Drosophila melanogaster: one gene and its partners. Changing the gene in region 4 together with the main gene of any one other region gives a genetic interaction. Each region holds a gene or a part of one and is shown on either strand. Other genes may lie near its edges. The genes, in order: Tm1, NiPp1, zip and flw.

Region 1 (4,727 bases), on a different chromosome or scaffold from region 4:
GTTTTGCTATTTTACAATGTTTTTCGACGTTTTCTCAAGGGTCTTTTCCATGTCTATGTCTTCTTTGTTTTTTTTTTTCTTTGTCTTTATAAATATATTGATCTAGTTTTCTTGCTTCGAAAACTTTTTGTTTTTAATGAATACAATTACGTCATTTTGTGGGTGTTGTTTGAGTTAATTTTAAAATTTTCATCAACCTCGGACTGGCAAATGTTCTCCAAGATAAGAGAACAACAAAAAATGGAATAAGTAAATACATATATGTATATATGTTGGGGCTATCAAATTGGCTTATATTTATAGGTTTATATTTAAAGACTTTAGTTGCATTCGAACATATAAGATCTCCAACAATTTTGTTGGCGATAAGATTAAAAGGGCGTGATCAACGAGTAAGCAAGCAATCTAGAAGGGCAAATATGCATATCACCAGATCGGAAACTCAACGATTATGGGGAAACTGAATTTCAACCGTTTTCACGTTTGCAATTTAAAAAAGCATGAATCATGGATGCATTTTCTTGCGAGACAGTTACAAAAAAACGTATACTTTCATATGTGACATTTATGATTGCCAGCAAAATGTTTTCCGTTCGCAGACATGACGTTGAAAAATCTATAGAAAGAGCTTTAATATATAGAGCAGAAAATAATAATCTGTAGACCTATGGGGGAAATACGTACGTATAACTACGTGAAACAAGATTTTTTGGCATATCAATAACTGAAAATTAAAAATAGAAGTTGAGAACATCAAAAAGCAAAACAAAACGATCCCCAAACCAATACACTCTCATCGGGAAAAGAGACACGATTGCCTAAGTATTGGATATATTTTGCAATGGGCAAAAACACTGGGTGAAAAGAGCTTTTCAAAATACGGGGAAATATTCAAAAATAGGCTGAAAGAAAGGCATTCGATTCGAAATGAGTGAGCATTACCCATACATGTGCAGCGAACAGGTGAAAGCACCAAGGAAAGGATCGGAAAAGAGAGGCAGAGAGAAAGCGGAGAGAGAGCGCAGGCGCCGGGCTTGAATGTGTGTGTATAAATTGTAACTGTATTTGAAATTCTGATCTTATGCTTTCCGTTACACTGGCAGAAATCGGATAGGAACATAAATTAAATATATTACGGGCTGAGGGGTAAAGAAATGTTGTACAGCTTTCTTAACTGGCATAGCCCATTTCACTTTGGAGTATTTTCTGAATGAAAAAAACATTTAATATAATTTATAAATGAATTTCAAAATTCAAATTTGTAATAACAAAAGTAGCATGAGTAAATGATGATAAATGATAAGTGCGACATAAATTTATAAATACATTAAATCAAAAGTGCATATTAAATGTCCTGATATTAGAAAGCATGCATGATTACATTAAATATGAGTATATAAATAAGAACAAATGCACCCCTTTGTTGATTTCGCGCAGTGTATAAGCTATTGTACCCCGGCCGAGCAATTTACCGATGCTCTTGGGGTAAATTGAGAGCCAAGTGCAGTTCCAAAGTAGGCGCAGACAGCAACAACATATGCTCGCTTTTGGCCGAAAAGTGCGCACTCTCGCACACAGATACTCACGCACACAGGCGCACTAGCGCGGCGGCTCACACGCACACACACCAGCGCAAGCCGCTCGAAATCGACCAAGCGGCGAGCATCGAACGTCAACATATTGAATAAATATTTTCAGTTGAACATCACAATCCGTTCAAGTCGCGGATAACTCCGAATAAAAGTTTTGTAAGTAAAAAGGAATACGTTATCGTTGATCAGTAAAAAATTATACAAAAAAAAATACAAAGATATCGCTGAATATTTCCACAAAAATACTTGTCGAGTGCTTCAAAAATAATTTTAACTGTGCTAGAATTCGATTCTTATTTAAAAAAAAGGATCGAACCAAAAAGTATAATTACATAACCACAACGTTGCTGCAATATCTAACTTAAAATCCACCAAAGTGCTGTGCAATTCTCAACCCTAATCATCCGCAAGTATTGAAAAAAATTGAAAATTTTCCCAGTTAGAATCGAAATAAACCCAAATAGAGGTTAAGCACCTTTGCAGATCGCGAAAAAAAAACTAAGAATAACGATTCTGGGGACCTTGTCAAGTTTGTCTGCTAACCGCAAGTTGCTATATAGGGTTTCAGCTAAACGTATTTCATGAGATATATAAACATGGTCAGTGGGAACTTCGAACGATCTTAGATTTTAGCGGCAGAAGTAAAGAATTAAGGCAAAAGGAGGATTATCGAGCTCTCTTTCCTCCTTTCAGAAACTAAAATTGTCATGTTGTATATGAGAAAGTAAGGGAATCATTCTTAAGATAAAGATCAATGAGATAGACTTCAAGATAGCTATCCTTGCTATGGAATGGTTTCCTGAATTATAATTTTCTTTAATCCAAAATGTTTAGGAATTCATTGAGCCTATTTTCCAAGTAACTGGGCAACACGCGCATTTACTTTGCAGTTTTGTATCTTTGAAATCTGATCCACGACCGCTGGCCCTAGCTGCCAAATGAATCTGAAGCGAACGTAGGCGAAATGCGCCAAGAATTTCCCAGAAAGCTCCCTTCCTCTCAGCTTAGTATTAAGTAATATCCGTGGAGAGGCTAGATATTCAACAGATGCCTCGGCTGTCCTATTTTTAGATACAATCCGTGTGTGCTACAGATACTAAACAGTGAAATAGAGAGCAGGAAAGCTGCTAGAGTATCGCCCAAGGCATTTGGCTAAAGAATCTATATGCATTAGACCCATTTGAACCAACGTGTGTATATATCGTACTCTAAGAATAGAAAATTCTGTATTCTGTATGATTAAATTCCGAATTTTCCATGCGATAATTTGTAAATTTTGTGTGGAAAGGTAGATCTTATAAGGTCGGATACAGATGGAAAATATCTGTAACTTGTAAACTAGGCAGAAAAGTAGGAATTGCGAGGTGCCAGTTCATAAGGATGGCTTGTTAGTTGGCCATAGTTAGTTAGATATAAAAAATGAGTTATACATATACGCATTTTGTTTCCTGAAATATTAACTTTGTTCCTAATGATAACGTCATTTCTTGATAAGGATGATCTTAATACTCATAAACCTCTTTGGTGTAGGCCCATTTTTCGATTATATATATGTCATTGCCGAAAGTTATAAGATGTCATGGGAATTTTGTGCTGAATCAACGCAAACATAACTCAATGTGTCACCTTAATCGACTTATGGCCCATACACATGCAGATTTATATATATATATATATGTATATCTGTGTGTTTTTTAAGCGAACAAAAAATTTGCCTCGATTGCGTTTTCATTAAAATTCAACGTTTTTTTTTTTTGGCTTTGGCTTTATTCGATTGGCGCTTTTTTCTCCAATGCCACTTCTCTTCGGCGGATCAGGCACAGGAATGTAAACAGAGTTTTTAAAAATAAATGCATGTTTAAGGCAGAACCACACAACAAATGACAGCGATGAGCCGTAATAAAGAATTAAAATTTCACGCGGCGAAATTCGAGTCAATTAGCCGCCGGCTGCACTCGGTTCGAGCCATGACAAATGTTGGTCAAGTGGGTTTCGTGTTGGCCAGGAAAGGCAAAGGGGGTGTCAATGGGCACCAAGGAGGGGCCAAAAAACCCACCAGCTGCGTTCACATTGAGTCAGAAGTCTGGAGCTGCTCGAGAAAAGGGGCAATAGCCCAGTGCAGCTGAGTGATTCATCTTGGGTTTTTAATTCGAGGATGGTAGCTACAGCATCTGCACTTTACTGATAAGAATGCAATTCCAAGATAAAGCGCACATTTGTAAATATAAATTGATTTGAGTAAACATATATGGCACCTAAGAGTATGCAATGATATATGTTAGTTAAAAAAATATATTAAATGAGCTTACTATCATTTCAAATCCTCATTCTACTTTCGAAGATTTAGAAGACTTTATCTATGCAGCAATTTCTTGGCCCAGATTGGAATCTACTGACACAATTTTGGCTGGTGACAGAACTCTCTATTCGAGAATGTACCCAGTTCGTCCAGCTTCGTTTGGCTCCACACCACGCGATCCGATGTGATCTGCATAAATAAACACCCTGCTTTCGGTGTTTCGAAGTATATCCCAGAAAATAAGGTTCAATTTTAGGTATTCTCGTTTAAATGATTTACTGTGACGAGATGAGAAAACACTCTCAAAGTTCAGAACATCAGCGAAAGAATCGGACAATAAAAGTCGTGAAGAGACGCCGTCGAAATATTAAATTCTCAATTTATCAGTTGGCTAAGCTCGAACAATGCGACTGACTGGCATCGAAAAGGGGGCCTTGGTTGTTTCGGTTTTGGCCAGGCCGAATAATTTATTGACTCTGCCACCTTTCGTCCAAAAATGGCTATCCATTATTGCAAAAAACTCGCTGTGTAGCTTGAAATGGAAGAAAGATCTGCCAGTTATTTTGATAACATGCAGATAAGATGGGAGCTTTAAAGTTATGAATTTAAATACATATATGTGCAGAAATCAGATTGCAGGATCCTCATGTAAATACACAAGTTATAAAATTGCTAAATTAATCATAAAATGCAAATGCATTTTCCATATAGTTTCACTTTCGCACAAGCCATGTTTGGACTTGAATACTACTCCCCTTGCACTTGCTGATTATCGCATAAATCTGCTAATTGCTTTATTGGCTTGCACTTAACCATGGTTTTAGCCGCAATCTCAT
Region 2 (3,862 bases), on a different chromosome or scaffold from region 4:
CCATGTGGGACTGATAAGACAGCTGGTTGGCACTCAGGGTAATGCCCGGATAAATGTTGCTCTGCACGCGATGCAAAATCCGATCGCACCAGGCGGGTCGCCGCTTCAAGTTGTAGTCATTAGTGCCTTCCACGAACTGCAAGGAAAATCAAATGAACTTTATATGGGTGCTAGAGATAAGGCGAATTAATTACATTCGACATATTGCCTCATAAATTAGTTGGATTTTGCTTTTCTCATGAAATCTGTGGAGCCGAATGAAGTGATTGATTGATGAAGTGATTGGCGGAAATTAAAAATTCAAGTGCAGATAAAATTAATTACACCCACCCCTATATACATTATTTAGATTAAGATTAGAAAGTTCAAGGCAAACTTTGACTGTAGAGATAATAAGATTGTATATTAGATTGTTACCTTAAAAGTGGGCGCAAAGTTGGGCTGCTGCTCCTCCAGCAAGCTGAAGGCGTTTCCCTTCTCCCGGAGCAGATTCAACTGGTCGAGCTTGAGCAGATCAGCGTATCGCTGGTTCTCCACATCCGTGCGGACATCCCAAGCGGACATATCGCCGGAGAGACGGAAGTTAAGATCGCCAAACCAAAAGACAAAGTCGTGATCGAATATCCGGCGATATCCCTGCGCATTGTACTTGTGATTGTCCACGATTTGGTGATAGTCTTCGATGCGCTCCTTCAGCTTCTCATCGTGCGCCGCCAGATGGGAGCAGACGAATGCGACGCCAGTTCCGTAGAGCGAAAGTCGAATGCTTACGGCACCCTTGTTGCCCCACAGCCCTCCAAGTCCCGTGCGCGTGGCTTCTGTCTCGATTTCTTTCATGTGCGGGATGTGCTTGTGCTGTGCGAACATGGTTATAAGAATTCCCTGCAGCTGCTTCGAGTCCACCTTTACGAACTGGTGATCGCTCAGAGAGTCCGCGATCTTCAGCACCCACGGATCGTCATTGAAGATTTTTAGCACCTGCGGTGTGGTGCTCACCTCCTGGAATCCGATTACATAGATATCGGGCAGCTGGTTATCCGGACAAGTGGTGGTGCCATTAAGGGACAAAAGGGAGCTCAGATCCTGATTTCGCGGCGTATGGGTGCCCACGTTCCAGGTCAAAAGGAAGATGCACAGATCCGCAATCGCCGTGGCCGTAACCATTTTTCCGCCGTCTAATTATCTATGATTAATACTTGTTGTTTTGGACGTCACAAGGTGGCTGTTGATGAGTTCATGGGCATCCAAAACAGGTTTACGGATTTGGCAGCATCAGCAAATAAAGCGAAAGGCGTTTTGCACACGCAACTTTCATTTATGTAACCGTTAATTCTTCAGCACTAATTTTTTAAGCCGCTTTAATTGGACTAGGAAGCGCTAGTTGCCCGTATTATTTATAGAATACTCAGATGTCGTTATTTATGTTTATTTGTCCGTCCGTTGCGTGAGCTTAGTGTGACCGCAGCACAACTATTTAAATATACCTTAGGCGGCGGCAAAAATTTTATGGTATCTCGATAGTAACGGAGCTCTGAAGCTCATCGAAAACATCGGCTAACATGAGCTTCTCATCTAATTTAGATTTTTATTTGAAACACATTAGATATTATAAAAGCCAAAAATCAATTTAAGAAATATAAAGATATAAGATTAAAAGTTGTACTGTGCGTAAGTTCCTTTAAAATAATAATACTCTTATTTCATTGTTTTTTTTTTTACGCGAGAATGCCCCTTTGCATTTGCTTGTGCTAAACCGATATTATCGGCAACTAGTCAATTGTGTGTACACACTGGCTAAGGATTTTTCATAAAAATAAACACTTTGTATAAACTTACCTTCCGAACTATTTTACTTAAGTTAAAAGTATGGCTAACAGCTACGACATACCCAGTTGGTGCGTTGTCAAATTCAGCCGCTGCCTTGCCACAAAATCACGTAGCATTTTATTTATTTTAGGGCTGGAAAACCGCCCACTGGCTTACATCTGGATGTGCTAAAGGACGACAAACTAGTACAAAAACTGATGGTGGATGAAAAAAGATGCTATCTATTTGGTCGCAACAGTCAAATGAACGACTTCTGCATAGACCATGCCTCTTGTTCGCGGGTCCACTCGGCGTTTGTCTACCACAAGCACCTCAACATAGCCTACCTCGTGGATCTGGGGTCCAGTAGGTACTAAGATATCTGGGATTCGGAGTAAGCTTATCCATTTACTTTTGACAGCTCATGGCACCTTTATTGGAACACTCAGATTGGAAGCGCACAAGCCCACACAGCTGCAGATTAATAGCACCTTCCACTTTGGGGCTTCTACCCGGAACTACATACTCAGGGAACGACCCTCTGGCCACCACAGCAACATCATGGAAGACCTGCCGCTCAGTGAAACCAGCGATGGAGCTCTCCTGGGCCTACCCGAAAGCCAAACGGAGCTTGATGTGCGTTTGGTTGAAAAGAAAAGCTAAATACTATGTAAACTAACCTTCCATTATCCTGCAGAATCTCACAGAATACAACACAGCCCACAATCGGCGCATCTCAATGCTGGGCATCGATGATGATACCAATATGCGAAAGCAAAACGCCTTGAAACAGGGACGGCGCACTCGAAATGTCACATTTAACGATGAGGAGATTGTCATCAATCCTGAGGATGTGGATCCTAATGTGGGACGCTTCAGGAACTTGGTACAAACCACTGTGGTGCCCGCCAAGAGGGCTCGCTGCGACGTCAATCATATGGGCATCCATTCGGGCAACAGCAGTTTGTCCAGTGCCAATGCCGCACATGTACACCAAATGTTCCAGCAGAGCCTAGTTGACATGAAGCAGCAGCATAGGGAAATGCCTCCGCCCAATGCGGTGCTCCACTCGCCTACTAATTCCCTATATCAAGGTCTACCGGCCGAAATGCATGGCAAGGGTGACCTAGAGCCCATCTCCCCGCTGAGCATTGGTTCCAAGTTGGGCCTATTGCTCCCGAATCCTGCGCCTGAAGTGCTGCCAGTCTATGACGAAGCTGTGGAGACCTCGACATTGGCTCAAAAGTTGGCCGTCGCTAATGCAAACGGTAATAGTTCTCGCGACTATTTGTTTAAAAACTTACTGATTGTTTATAACACCATTTTAGTTCGTCGCTTTGGTGAGGATCCGCATGACTCGAGTGGCGAAGGCGATTCGCTGTGCCCACAGAAAAAGAAATACGCCAAGGAAGCATGGCCAGGTCGCAAGCCCATGTTGGGGCAGCTGTAATTGCGTATTAACAAAATAATTAAGATTCCACCTACGATTTTCTCAAGCATATGATTGACAACACACTCTGGAGTAATATTTGTTTATTAGACTTTTAACGTAAAACAAAACATTTAATATCTTTATCTGATCACATCTTGCAGCTGTGTGGATACCTGGGGAAGGGTATCACATCACGAATGTTTTTAACGCCCGTGACAAGCTGCAAGTAACGCTCAAAGCCCATTCCAAATCCTCCAGTTGGAACTCCTCCATACTTTCGCAAGTCAACGTACCATTCCAGATCCTTCGGCAGATGCGGATGGGATTTTAATATAGCAGGATCGCTTTCACGCAGGCTCCCGCCGCATAATTCTCCAACAGCTGGCATCAGTAGGTCTAGGGCATGAACTCGATTGGGATTTGAACGCGAGACTTTCATGTAAAAAGGTTTCTGCTGAGCTGGCCAATCCACAACGAATACGGGAGCACCACAATGGGCCACTAAAAAAAGTTCTTGGTCCTTGGAGAATCCTTCGTTCAGGCTAATAGGAGTCTTAAGACTGTCCTTGTTTTCCTGCAGTACTTGCAGGGCTTCATCGTAGCTCATTATCTTCCACGGTACTT
Region 3 (4,825 bases), on a different chromosome or scaffold from region 4:
TCCAAAGTATTAACTTTTCAATTTCATCGTTGGACAATGGAAAAGTAAGCTATGAACTATTAAAAGCATTTAAATAGTTTCAAGATCGCAAATATACATTAACCTATAACCCGAAACCTTCAATGTACAATATATCTAATCCCCACCAATAAACTTGCTCTCTGTGCAATTGATTCGATGAATCATCGCTGTTCAGCAAACAACATGAAACGAAATGTAGCCACGAACAAAAGGTCTCCTTGTGTATCCACCAGTAAATTACTGAATTTGGATATCACGTACGTGGACTGACGCCGCCATTATTCAGCGAATTCGCTTACATTTCGAAAAGCTGGAACAGTTGCTGGAAACGAAACGAGTGTTGACACAATTGGCGAATACCCTTTTGGACGGGTCCGTTCCCGTTAAGACGTAGCTGTATCTGTGGACATTCCAGCGGAGCAACAGTTGCGCTATATGCAAATTTCTTAACTATTTCCACCCGTCTCATGTGCCGTTCGTCAGTCGCAAAGAAATTTTAGCCTTTAGACAATCTGACGGACCACTCATGACAATCGAGCGTTTCGTTATTTTCGTTTTATTTCTGGGTTTTATCTCTGCCGTTGTCTTTTTGTGAGATTCCATTGTAAAGTAAATGTCTGTTAAAGTGATCGCGTAATTACACAAAAATGTGAAGTTGTTGGCTTTTGTTTTCGATGTTGCTTTTATTATACGAAGTCACCCAAAAGTGCTACCATTCTATGTACGGAATTATCTCTGGCAAATACAGCAATTACGGGCAGCCAGGGGAGAAAGGAGCGGTTGATAATTTTATCTGTTTACGTTTTTTATGGTCTTGAAATTAAGTCGTTGGAATGCAGTTGAATGACACCTGAATGAAATCGCTTTAAACTGAAGAAGAGAATAACAAGCCACACCGAAATTAGCAAAACAATCGGCTTGTTATCATAAGGCTTGATCGCTAGCAGTCGACCAAAGTTTTGAATTTGAATTTATAGGCCAAGAGCGGGCGCCCGAACTCCGAGGGAAGCGATTCTTTGGCGCAATCTCGGCTCGTTTCTTTGCTGGCCTGGCTGTGTGGTTGAGGCCAGAAAGCCCCACACAAGCAAGTCCACACCACAAATACCTAGCCACATTGAAAACTTGTTTTGGCCCGCTCTTAGTGGGAACTGCGAACTGGGGCCATTCCTGCTTCCACTCTCCCTCGGAGGTGAGTCACTGAGTCGAAGAGCGTCTGCATGCAAATTGGTACCAAATGGTCGCGGATTTGACCAAGTAAGAAGTTAAATGTGTCACACTACTACGGTGAGATTAATTCAGCATCAGCGCAGGAGAAAAGAGTGATTCAGCATCGACGCCAACGGATGTTTACCCAAGTTTATCACCGCGGTGCGAATGTAATGAAAATTCAAAGAAGTTGGGCCTGTTCAAAATTAAAAATAAACGGATCGGTGAAGCGTGATTCATGACCAATCGATGAGTGAGTCGGATGGCTCAAAAGGTGTTGGCTGATAAGAAGCGCAAAGCCGGGGACAAACACTGTGAAAATTGATTAGAGCACGTACAGCTAGGGCTAAAATATTATCACGATGTGTCGAACACACTATGTTCTATAATAACCATTCACTGCGAAGTAATACTTAGATATTAGATAGTTACATGTAGCAATTTTTTACGCAAAAGAATATGAAAATTAAACGAAAATTAAGTACATTTGGTAATTTTACAAAAAAAAAAAAAAAAACCATAATGGGCTAATGACTACCGACTTCACGAAATAAACAGCGTTATGATGTATCGACTGTATTTTTATCTCAGTTGTAGCAGTTCCTGTTGCATTTAGGCTATCTATAGGGTCTATTCAGGTAGTTCACTGAAACGGGCGTGGCTTCCGGGGTAGAAATCCCGTAGCAGAGGTTGCGTCCAGAGTAGGAACATGCTCTACGGGTAGGCATTACATTTAAGTAGACTCACCTGGTTCTCGTGTGGCACCCACACCAGACGCTTCTGTGTCCACTCGGCCTGCGTGGCCGGATCGTTGAACTGGTTGCGCTCCACCGAGAGGTACTTGAGCTCCGGATCGTTGCGATCTACTTCCTCCGACATTTTGGCGGCGATCTCTAAATAATTCCTTGTCTGTCGGTAATTAGCTGCTTTCGGATAATGGATATTGGATACTGGATATTCGCTTTTCGGATGCAATGCACTTTTCTGTCGGACAAAACAAATCGATGAGAACAATGAGTATGTTGCCTCGCTCCTCAGATACAATATTTCGCATTTATCTCGCGTTTGCGTTCTTTATCTCGGAAGTGCGGCACAAAACGGAGGCGGCGAGAACAGCGCGCGGCGAGAGTTTCAAAAGGGAGAGCGCGAAGGCGAAAGAAAGACGGAGAGGAAAAAATATGGCCACACATTTTCATTTTCTTAAGCCAAAGTCACCGCTGAACGTAGAAGAAGGGGTGGTGAAGTAATTTAGCGGAAAAATAGCGTTACGTAGCAATTAACCAGTTTGCATCTCCTAAAACTGCAGCTAAACACTATCAGAGCACCTTTTCACCTCCGATTTCGGATGTTTCAGTTTTCGGAGCAGGTACAAGCGGCTCTTTTTCTTCCTCTTCGTCTTCTCTCGCTTTGCTTCCCACTTGGTTCGTTCTGCAACACCGACACACAGCACGGCTCACACACACACACACATAGATCGCACTGGGAGCCAAGGTTTCGCATATTCGCATATTTCGCACACAAGTTTCGGTTTTTATGCTCCCATTTCCCCGCGTCAGCACAGCGTTTGTGCAAATGCAGCCAAATTCGACCGTGCAGTTTCAGCTGGCGGCGTCCCGACGCCGGCGAATAGGTCGCTGCATTCGCTGGATGCCTGTGCACATTTCCGATTTTTTTTTTACCGATTTTAATGCAAGCCAGGCGCTTTTCATTTGTTTGGCGACAGCTGCACCCACACACACTCACAAAGACTTCGACCGCAGTTCCTGAGCACGTCTTTTCGCTTTCCCCCTTTTTTTTTCACTGTTTTTCGCCGCTTGCCGTTTTGCCGACCGAGTACTTTTCGAGTTCGATGGTAATCGATGCCTTCCGATTCCATTCGGACATATCGATGCATCGATATGTCGTAGTTCACACGACGGCCGCGGCAGCGCTTTCTGAAAACACATACATCGATATGTCAACACTGATTAAAATTCTACATATGGATCGCATCTAGATTTTGTTTAAAGCACACACCTGTAACATTTTTTCAGGTCGGCCATTGTATTCCTCTATAACAGAATATCTAAGTTTTTAGCAAAGTATCGCATCAGCTTCCTCTGGTTCATGACTGCACTTAAGATCGAAATATTCGCGGCTTCAAGCCAAGCGGTGTCGATTGGAATCGAATACTTCCGGAATAGAAATGAGATTAAATTATTTTGCCGATTTCACTCACTTGCATATTCAGATGTAGCAAAGGATGTTTCCAACTCACTTTTCAATTTATAATATTGGTCAAATTAGTGCAAGCTAAGTATCGTATATGTCGATTTTACTTTTGACATATACGTAGTTCATTTAGTTGGACCGCACGACAACATCAAAATACCTTACCGCCTTTTTGTTTTTGGTGTTTTGCGGGGTCTCGCGTGCTGTCCTCTCTTCGAATCAGTTCTTGGTAAAACCAAACTTCAATAAACCGTTGGGTTAATGCGCGGATGTGCGGATACTTTCAGTTAATTTTGAATTTTTCGAGGAACGGTGAAGGTCCGCGCTTGAATCAGTAAGTCCAGTTCCGAGTATCACAGCCAGATGTGAGTGCTTGGCGCCAGTCGCAATTAAATTGACTTTAATAAAATATCTGGCGGGCTCCTTGCGAACTTTTAATTCTGGGGAAACGGACTTGAGTGATTCCAACTAAGAGCAAGAACACAGTTCCTTAAATGAAGTGCTACTTCTGGCAGCGTTCTTGAGATGCGCGCAGCATCCTTGGCAATGACGTCATTCGCCTGCTGACCAGTTTCTCTGTGTTCGTGTGTATGTGTGGCGAGAGTGCGTATGCGTGTGTATGTGCCGAAATTAGAGCGCAATAGCGAATTCAATTTGCATTTGCGGAAGAAATAACTGCAAACGAACAGAATCGATTGTTGTTGTCGCGAGTGCTTTGTTAAGGATAAGAAGAAGTCGCGACTAGTTCCGCAAAACTCTCACGTTTTGTCTATGGTTTCTCGTTTCCAGAATCCTAAGTGAGGGACTCCGAATAGGATTCATTGGATGACAAACTAACGTGCAGCCAGGAATTATCGATTCAGGTAAGCCATCGTTTCTCCTTGAAGCAACTGGGTCAGACAGCGATAATAATTGCACGTGTAGTTCCTGGTTTTCCACAAAATTGTCGTGGTAAGCTGAGCCACCCCATCTTCCCGAAACCTTCCAGCTTTATGCTGATAATGAATTTTTAATGTGCGCTGAGACTGCTAGTAGAAAAGAAAAAACAAACCCACATAAATTAAACTTGCAAAATCTTCAAAGGACAGAGAACTGCGTCGGTGCTTCCATTCCGCTTTTTTGGGAGGCTGTAAATTATGAAAGACCAGACAAGCGGTAGACAACAAGGTTTGCCCGTTCCCAAGGGATCCCGGGGCAACATAATCAAAGGCCTTTATTACTGGGCTGGAATCGGATGGGGCCCGTCCGGAAACCATGCCGCAGACGGCTTTCCTGGCCCGGAGTCCCGTGACAGGGCACGTTCGACCTAATAAGCATACGTCGTTGAGTAAATGGGGGCCGTGGAACTTTGCATTTACGACTCGGCAGAGCTGTAAGTGCTTCCGGG
Region 4 (4,960 bases):
CAGCACGCTACTTAGAGTATGAAGTCTCATGGTCATGGTGACCACTGCAGTATGGCTTTTACTTTTGCACTGGACTTATGGATGATCATCAAACATCGACAAAGTGATCAATAGGGGAGGTTGTTCTTAGATTGAAAGTGGTAATACCAAACTCGGCGACGAAAAAATCGCGCAGTTTCAATCTGGATTTCTTGGGCTCCTCGCGCGGATGATGGACGGTGATCTGGTCGCCATCGGCCGATATCATCGTCTCGCTGGGCGGCGATATCGAGTATTGCTGGAGCAGACGGCGCTGCTGTTCGGTGAGATCGTCGAGCGGATCATGGCTGGATCCTGGGCCAGCGCCGGCACCAGGAGCACCAGCACCAGATCCCGATCCGTATCCGGATCCAAAGGAGGCCACCGCCGCCATCGACGAGTAATTGCTGCTGGATGTGGGCGATGTGGCAGATGCGCCGGATGCTCCGCCGGCGGCGGCCAATTGTTGAGCGATTAGCAGCTTCTGGGCGTGCTCTTCGGCCTCTTTTTGTTTTTTAAAGTCTTTCGAATGGATGCACATATACATATATATTCATATATACGTACACATATATATATATATATAGAGAGAGAGATCTATTAAAACTAAGGGGTGTGGGATAGGTGGAGTGGGCTTGCGGGAAAAAAGCATAAAAGAACACAAAAGGAGGGCGAAATTTCCATATTTCTCGGAAAAGCGAGAGCCAGAAAACACGACAGCCCGGCTAAGTGCCCTAAAAATTCAATTTCAATTTGCAATTTGACAAATGAAATTTATCTGCCGCCGCCGCTGCTTTTGCCATTTTATTTTCTTTTTTTTTTTTTGCTGCCGGTGACAGAGGCTGACGACGCTTCATAGATCAAAATTAATGGCATTTTTCGGGGGATGGGGTGGTGGGCGTAGTGCCATGACCTAGCCCACTCGATGACCTTGACAAATGGTTGTGGCCTACCTCGACCATCTCGCTCAATCTGCCCCTTTTGCCCATCGCCCATCTGCTTTGGCAGCTGAGAGTGGTTTACAGTGATCACTCGGTAGCTAACACGGTAAGTAAGGAAATATACTTTCTATGATATATTTACATACTTCATAACGTAGAAACATAACCGATATCTGAAAAGATTCTTCTCCGTTTTCCTTTTCCGCTGTGTTCTTCCGTCGAATGACCACTGTAGTTGGGTCGTGTCATATCAGCGCAAGAAATAAGTGAAACCGAAAGACAGAATCGGAGGAAGAAAAGCGAAACTCATTGCGGAAATGGACAAAAACCGAAAATCGCAATGTTCAAATGCAATTTCCCCGTGGCGTCGGTCAGAGCTAAAGCCAAATGGTGGCGGCGGCCCGCCCCCCGGAAAAGCGGAAAAGCCCATCCCGTCCCATGCCGTATCTTCGACATTGGCTGACACTTGCAAAACGAGACAAGCACTAAGCGGCTTAAGCAACCCTCGCAGATGTTGGGTTTTCACCAGGGCAAAGGCATATCGCATTCGAAACCTAGAAGAGGTTGCAAAAATGTAAACTATTTAGCGCTTTTACGCTTTGCAGGAAGGTTGCATGATGACGACGATGACACAGCCCCCACCACCCATTCTAAGCCACATACAGTGGATATCGGCTATAGCGGTCGATACCCAGTAAAAATTATATTGATATTGATCGCTGGATAAAAATATCTTCTTGGGGGCTAGGAAATATAGGATATATCGGTCGTAGATTTCTCAACCGTCTTTAGCGATAGTTGCGTGACACGAACAGCGATCCCACTCCAACGGGCAGTGGGGTTACTTGCGACAAAGCTCCTTATCGAGTAACTCATGTGATTCCGTTCCATTCCTTCGTCGGCGATTTCATAGCTACACATTCTGTTTGAATCACGCCCGTGTTTATCAGCTCGATGACGTCATTGCCAATATAGGCGAAACAAGAAAAAACACAGCTAATAAACCAAAAATCATTTGGGAGACATTAGCGCAGGACAGAGATGGCGTGCTTAACAGCGCGATCACTGTTAGTATTATGTAAACGCTAATGAGCGTAGCGTAGATGCTGTCGCTGTTGTTGTTGTTGTTTTTATGGTTTTTGCTGTTTTTCAAGAGGAGCAATGAAAATCAATTAAAACTAATTGATTCAAGAGTCAAATTCAAACGGTTGCAGCGGCAGCAGCGGTGGCGGCGGCGGCGGTAGAGAGAGGGGCTGTCGCAACAACAAAAAGAAAACCTACTACCATTTAAGCGAACAATGTGCAATAATTAGAAAATGCAATCGCACACACACACACACGCAGATAAACTGTGTAATAAATTAAAATGGGGACAGTGGCGTGGGAGGGGCGTAGAGGGTTTGGGGGGGAGGTTTTGGGAAAGTAGGATTGAAAGAGGGGGAAATTTCGCATCTACTTACTCTCCAGCAGCCGCTGTATCAAGCTGTCCACATTCAGATCGAAGTCGCCCATTTTTCAGCAGCTAAATTGTTCTTCTATTGGCCGCGTTTTGTTGTTGTGGCCAGCTGTTCCAGAATTCCGATTGGAATTTTTGGCGCAACAACTACACGCACGCACACACAAGCACACACACACGCACAGCGACGCCCGTTAGCTTATAAACTTGTATTGTATGCTATTGTAAACAATAAACTTTGTTTAATTCAAATAGTCGTTATATTCTTTTCTCTTTTTTGGTCGTTTTCTTACTTGCCGCAAAAGGCAATTTCACTTTATGCTCTCTTTTTTTCTTATTGAGATTTTGTACGGTGGGCCGCTGATGTTCACTGATGTTGCACGAGGGGCAAGAACAGAAAAAAAAATATATAGACGCACGGCTGATCGACTTTCGGGATCGCAAATCGATCAAGGAATATATAAAATATATATATCTATATAGATGTGTTAGATCTCTGCAGGGGGAGAGGAGCTGAGAAATCGGCTTAACTGAGAATTTATAAACCAGCGTAATCTTTTCTCCGCCAATAACAAAACTCGTCGGACAGCTAGCTGAGTATGACCGTTTGCCGGAAGGCTGAAAAAGTTTTTGGTGGCGGCGGCTTTACAGTTCGACTTTATCGATAGTCCGATGGGCAACGAAGCCAGCCAGTGCTCAGCAACGCGGGAGTTAACTGTCAAAGTCCTTTTTCGCACTTCAACGCTCGTGCCTTCAAACTTCTTACTGTGAACTCAAATCTCGACCGAACAAGTTGTGTGCTCCCTATGATTTCGTTATTAACTGATATTAACTACACACACATTTCTCTAATCCTTGCACACACATAGCTAAATCGAAATGGCTCTTTCGACCATCTGTCCGTTCCTCGTCGCCAACAAGAAAAACTCGAAGCACGCGGCTTTGCTATTTTTGATCTCAAGTGGATTGATGATTTTTAATATGGGCGACTTTATCGACGACTTGATGATCATACGGCTAGATTAAGATCAATTGTTCGAAATTGAAGTCAAAATAGTCATTGCCGGGAACGAAACCTTTATTTTTATTTGTTTTTGAAAGATGCAGATAAGCCTAAGAACTTGCGGAAGAAGTAACCATCTAATTGCAATCGTATCGAATTACTATTACTAAGCTGAGTTCACATGTTCCACATCATTTACAACTTTGAGTAATTATACCCTGACTAGTAATTTTATGTATAAAAAAATGTCAAGTGCAGGCTGCAATTTAAAATTCGCGCTGAAATAAGAGTAATTTTCCGGAAAAACTATTTACATATAATACATATAAATGCTTCGATATATATAGTACATAAAACCTATCGAGTGCCTCGGCATCCAGGCAAACAGCTGTTTCTGCCTCGATAGACCCCGGCAAAATGCATCTAATATCGATAGGCGATAGGTCGCGCACTTAAGAAATTGAATTTACCTAAAGTAAACACCAAACGAATCATAAAGCTGGGCCGCGCAATGAACGGAATGAACTATTTTCCGAACTATTACTCCATCGAGGACATATTCGTGACCCAGGAGAAGGTGGAATGTCGGGTGAACACCAAGCTGCAGCGGATGGGTAAGTGATTGGCTTGGACGGACACGCACATTCTGGCCAGTAATCCGACAATATTGAGTTGCTTGCAGGATTCCTGGACTCCGGCGCGGAATCGGATGACCTGGAGCCCGGCAGGACGGTCAATCTGCCGTTGTGGTACATCAAGGAGCTGAAGGTAAACAATGCCTACTTCACCGTCGCCGTGCCAGATATCTATCGCAATGTGCATAAGGCCGTCTGCGAGGCGGAGACCACGCACATCGAGCTGGGACGCCTGCACCCGTACTTCTACGAGTTCGGTCGCTATCTGACGCCCTACGATCGCAACCATGTCATCGGCCGCATCATCTTCGAAACGCTGCGCCAGAGGGTACGTCATCTCCTGGACATCTCGAAGAGCGACGGACAGGCAGCCAAGGCGGAGCATCGACTGGATAACATCGAGGCCAAGCTGCACGAGGCTGGAGTGCGCACCAACAGTCAGGTGGGTGGCTGTACTACCAGTCAAGTGGGCACGGAGTGTTATATTAATCACATAATTTCAGTACATCGAATGGCTGCAGATGACGGGCAACAAGATTCGCACCTCGGAGCTGGTCGAGGAGCACCAAAAGAAGCGGCGACGTGCGGATCGCAGCGATGACGAGGGCGATGCTCTGCCCAACAGCAAGCGGGCCACCTTGTAACAAGCAGAGTAAAACAACAAAAACAGACCACTGATGTACTGTGGAACTGTAGCAACTTTATTTCGTCCATTCGTTCGGTGGCCATAGGGCAGCCTGACCTCTCAAAAATACACTTTTCATCTACTCTATGCACACGGCTAAATCCATTTGTACAGTTCAAAATACATGGGTTTCGCATACATCTACGCATAACTAAGCATCCAATCCGGGACCGGTCTTAAACAAAACACATAGGAGCTGCCGTTCTGCGTTTTTCATTGACT

Evidence for each region.
Region 1: of flw (region 4) and Tm1, changing one suppresses a phenotype caused by changing the other (phenotypic suppression), as found in Drosophila melanogaster (one study listed by BioGRID).
Region 2: of flw (region 4) and NiPp1, changing one suppresses a phenotype caused by changing the other (phenotypic suppression), as found in Drosophila melanogaster (2 studies listed by BioGRID).
Region 3: of flw (region 4) and zip, changing one suppresses a phenotype caused by changing the other (phenotypic suppression), as found in Drosophila melanogaster (2 studies listed by BioGRID).

The regions. Positions count from the first base shown.
Region 1 is NT_033777.3:15,279,856-15,284,582, forward strand, and holds the start of Tm1 (tropomyosin 1), read left to right. Parts: upstream 1-1,694; 5' UTR 1,695-1,748; exon of another isoform or gene 1,749-2,002; intron 2,003-4,727. UniProt on the Drosophila melanogaster protein: Tropomyosin, in association with the troponin complex, plays a central role in the calcium dependent regulation of muscle contraction.
Region 2 is NT_033778.4:17,003,063-17,006,924, reverse strand, and holds NiPp1 (nuclear inhibitor of protein phosphatase 1), read left to right. Parts: upstream 1-1,775; 5' UTR 1,776-1,866; coding exon 1,867-1,895; intron 1,896-1,957; coding exon 1,958-2,172; intron 2,173-2,227; coding exon 2,228-2,442; intron 2,443-2,503; coding exon 2,504-3,074; intron 3,075-3,134; coding exon 3,135-3,256; 3' UTR 3,257-3,362; downstream 3,363-3,862. Other genes in the region: CG6805 (uncharacterized protein), read right to left, coding at 1-136, 418-1,164; AsnRS-m (Asparaginyl-tRNA synthetase, mitochondrial), read right to left, coding at 3,387-3,862.
Region 3 is NT_033778.4:25,008,406-25,013,230, forward strand, and holds the start of zip (zipper), read right to left. Parts: upstream 3,059-4,825; 5' UTR 2,937-3,058; coding exon 2,907-2,936; intron 2,804-2,906; exon of another isoform or gene 2,695-2,803; intron 2,212-2,694; coding exon 1,975-2,211; intron 1-1,974. UniProt on the Drosophila melanogaster protein: Nonmuscle myosin appears to be responsible for cellularization. Required for morphogenesis and cytokinesis. Necessary for auditory transduction: plays a role in Johnston's organ organization by acting in scolopidial apical attachment.
Region 4 is NC_004354.4:10,384,023-10,388,982, reverse strand, and holds the start of flw (flapwing), read right to left. Parts: upstream 3,024-4,960; 5' UTR 2,472-3,023; coding exon 2,420-2,471; intron 541-2,419; coding exon 148-540; intron 1-147. Other genes in the region: Psf3 (partner of Sld five 3), read left to right, coding at 3,930-4,032, 4,101-4,495, 4,557-4,697. UniProt on the Drosophila melanogaster protein: Required for cell adhesion in non-muscle tissues and in maintenance of muscle attachment. Vital for larval development.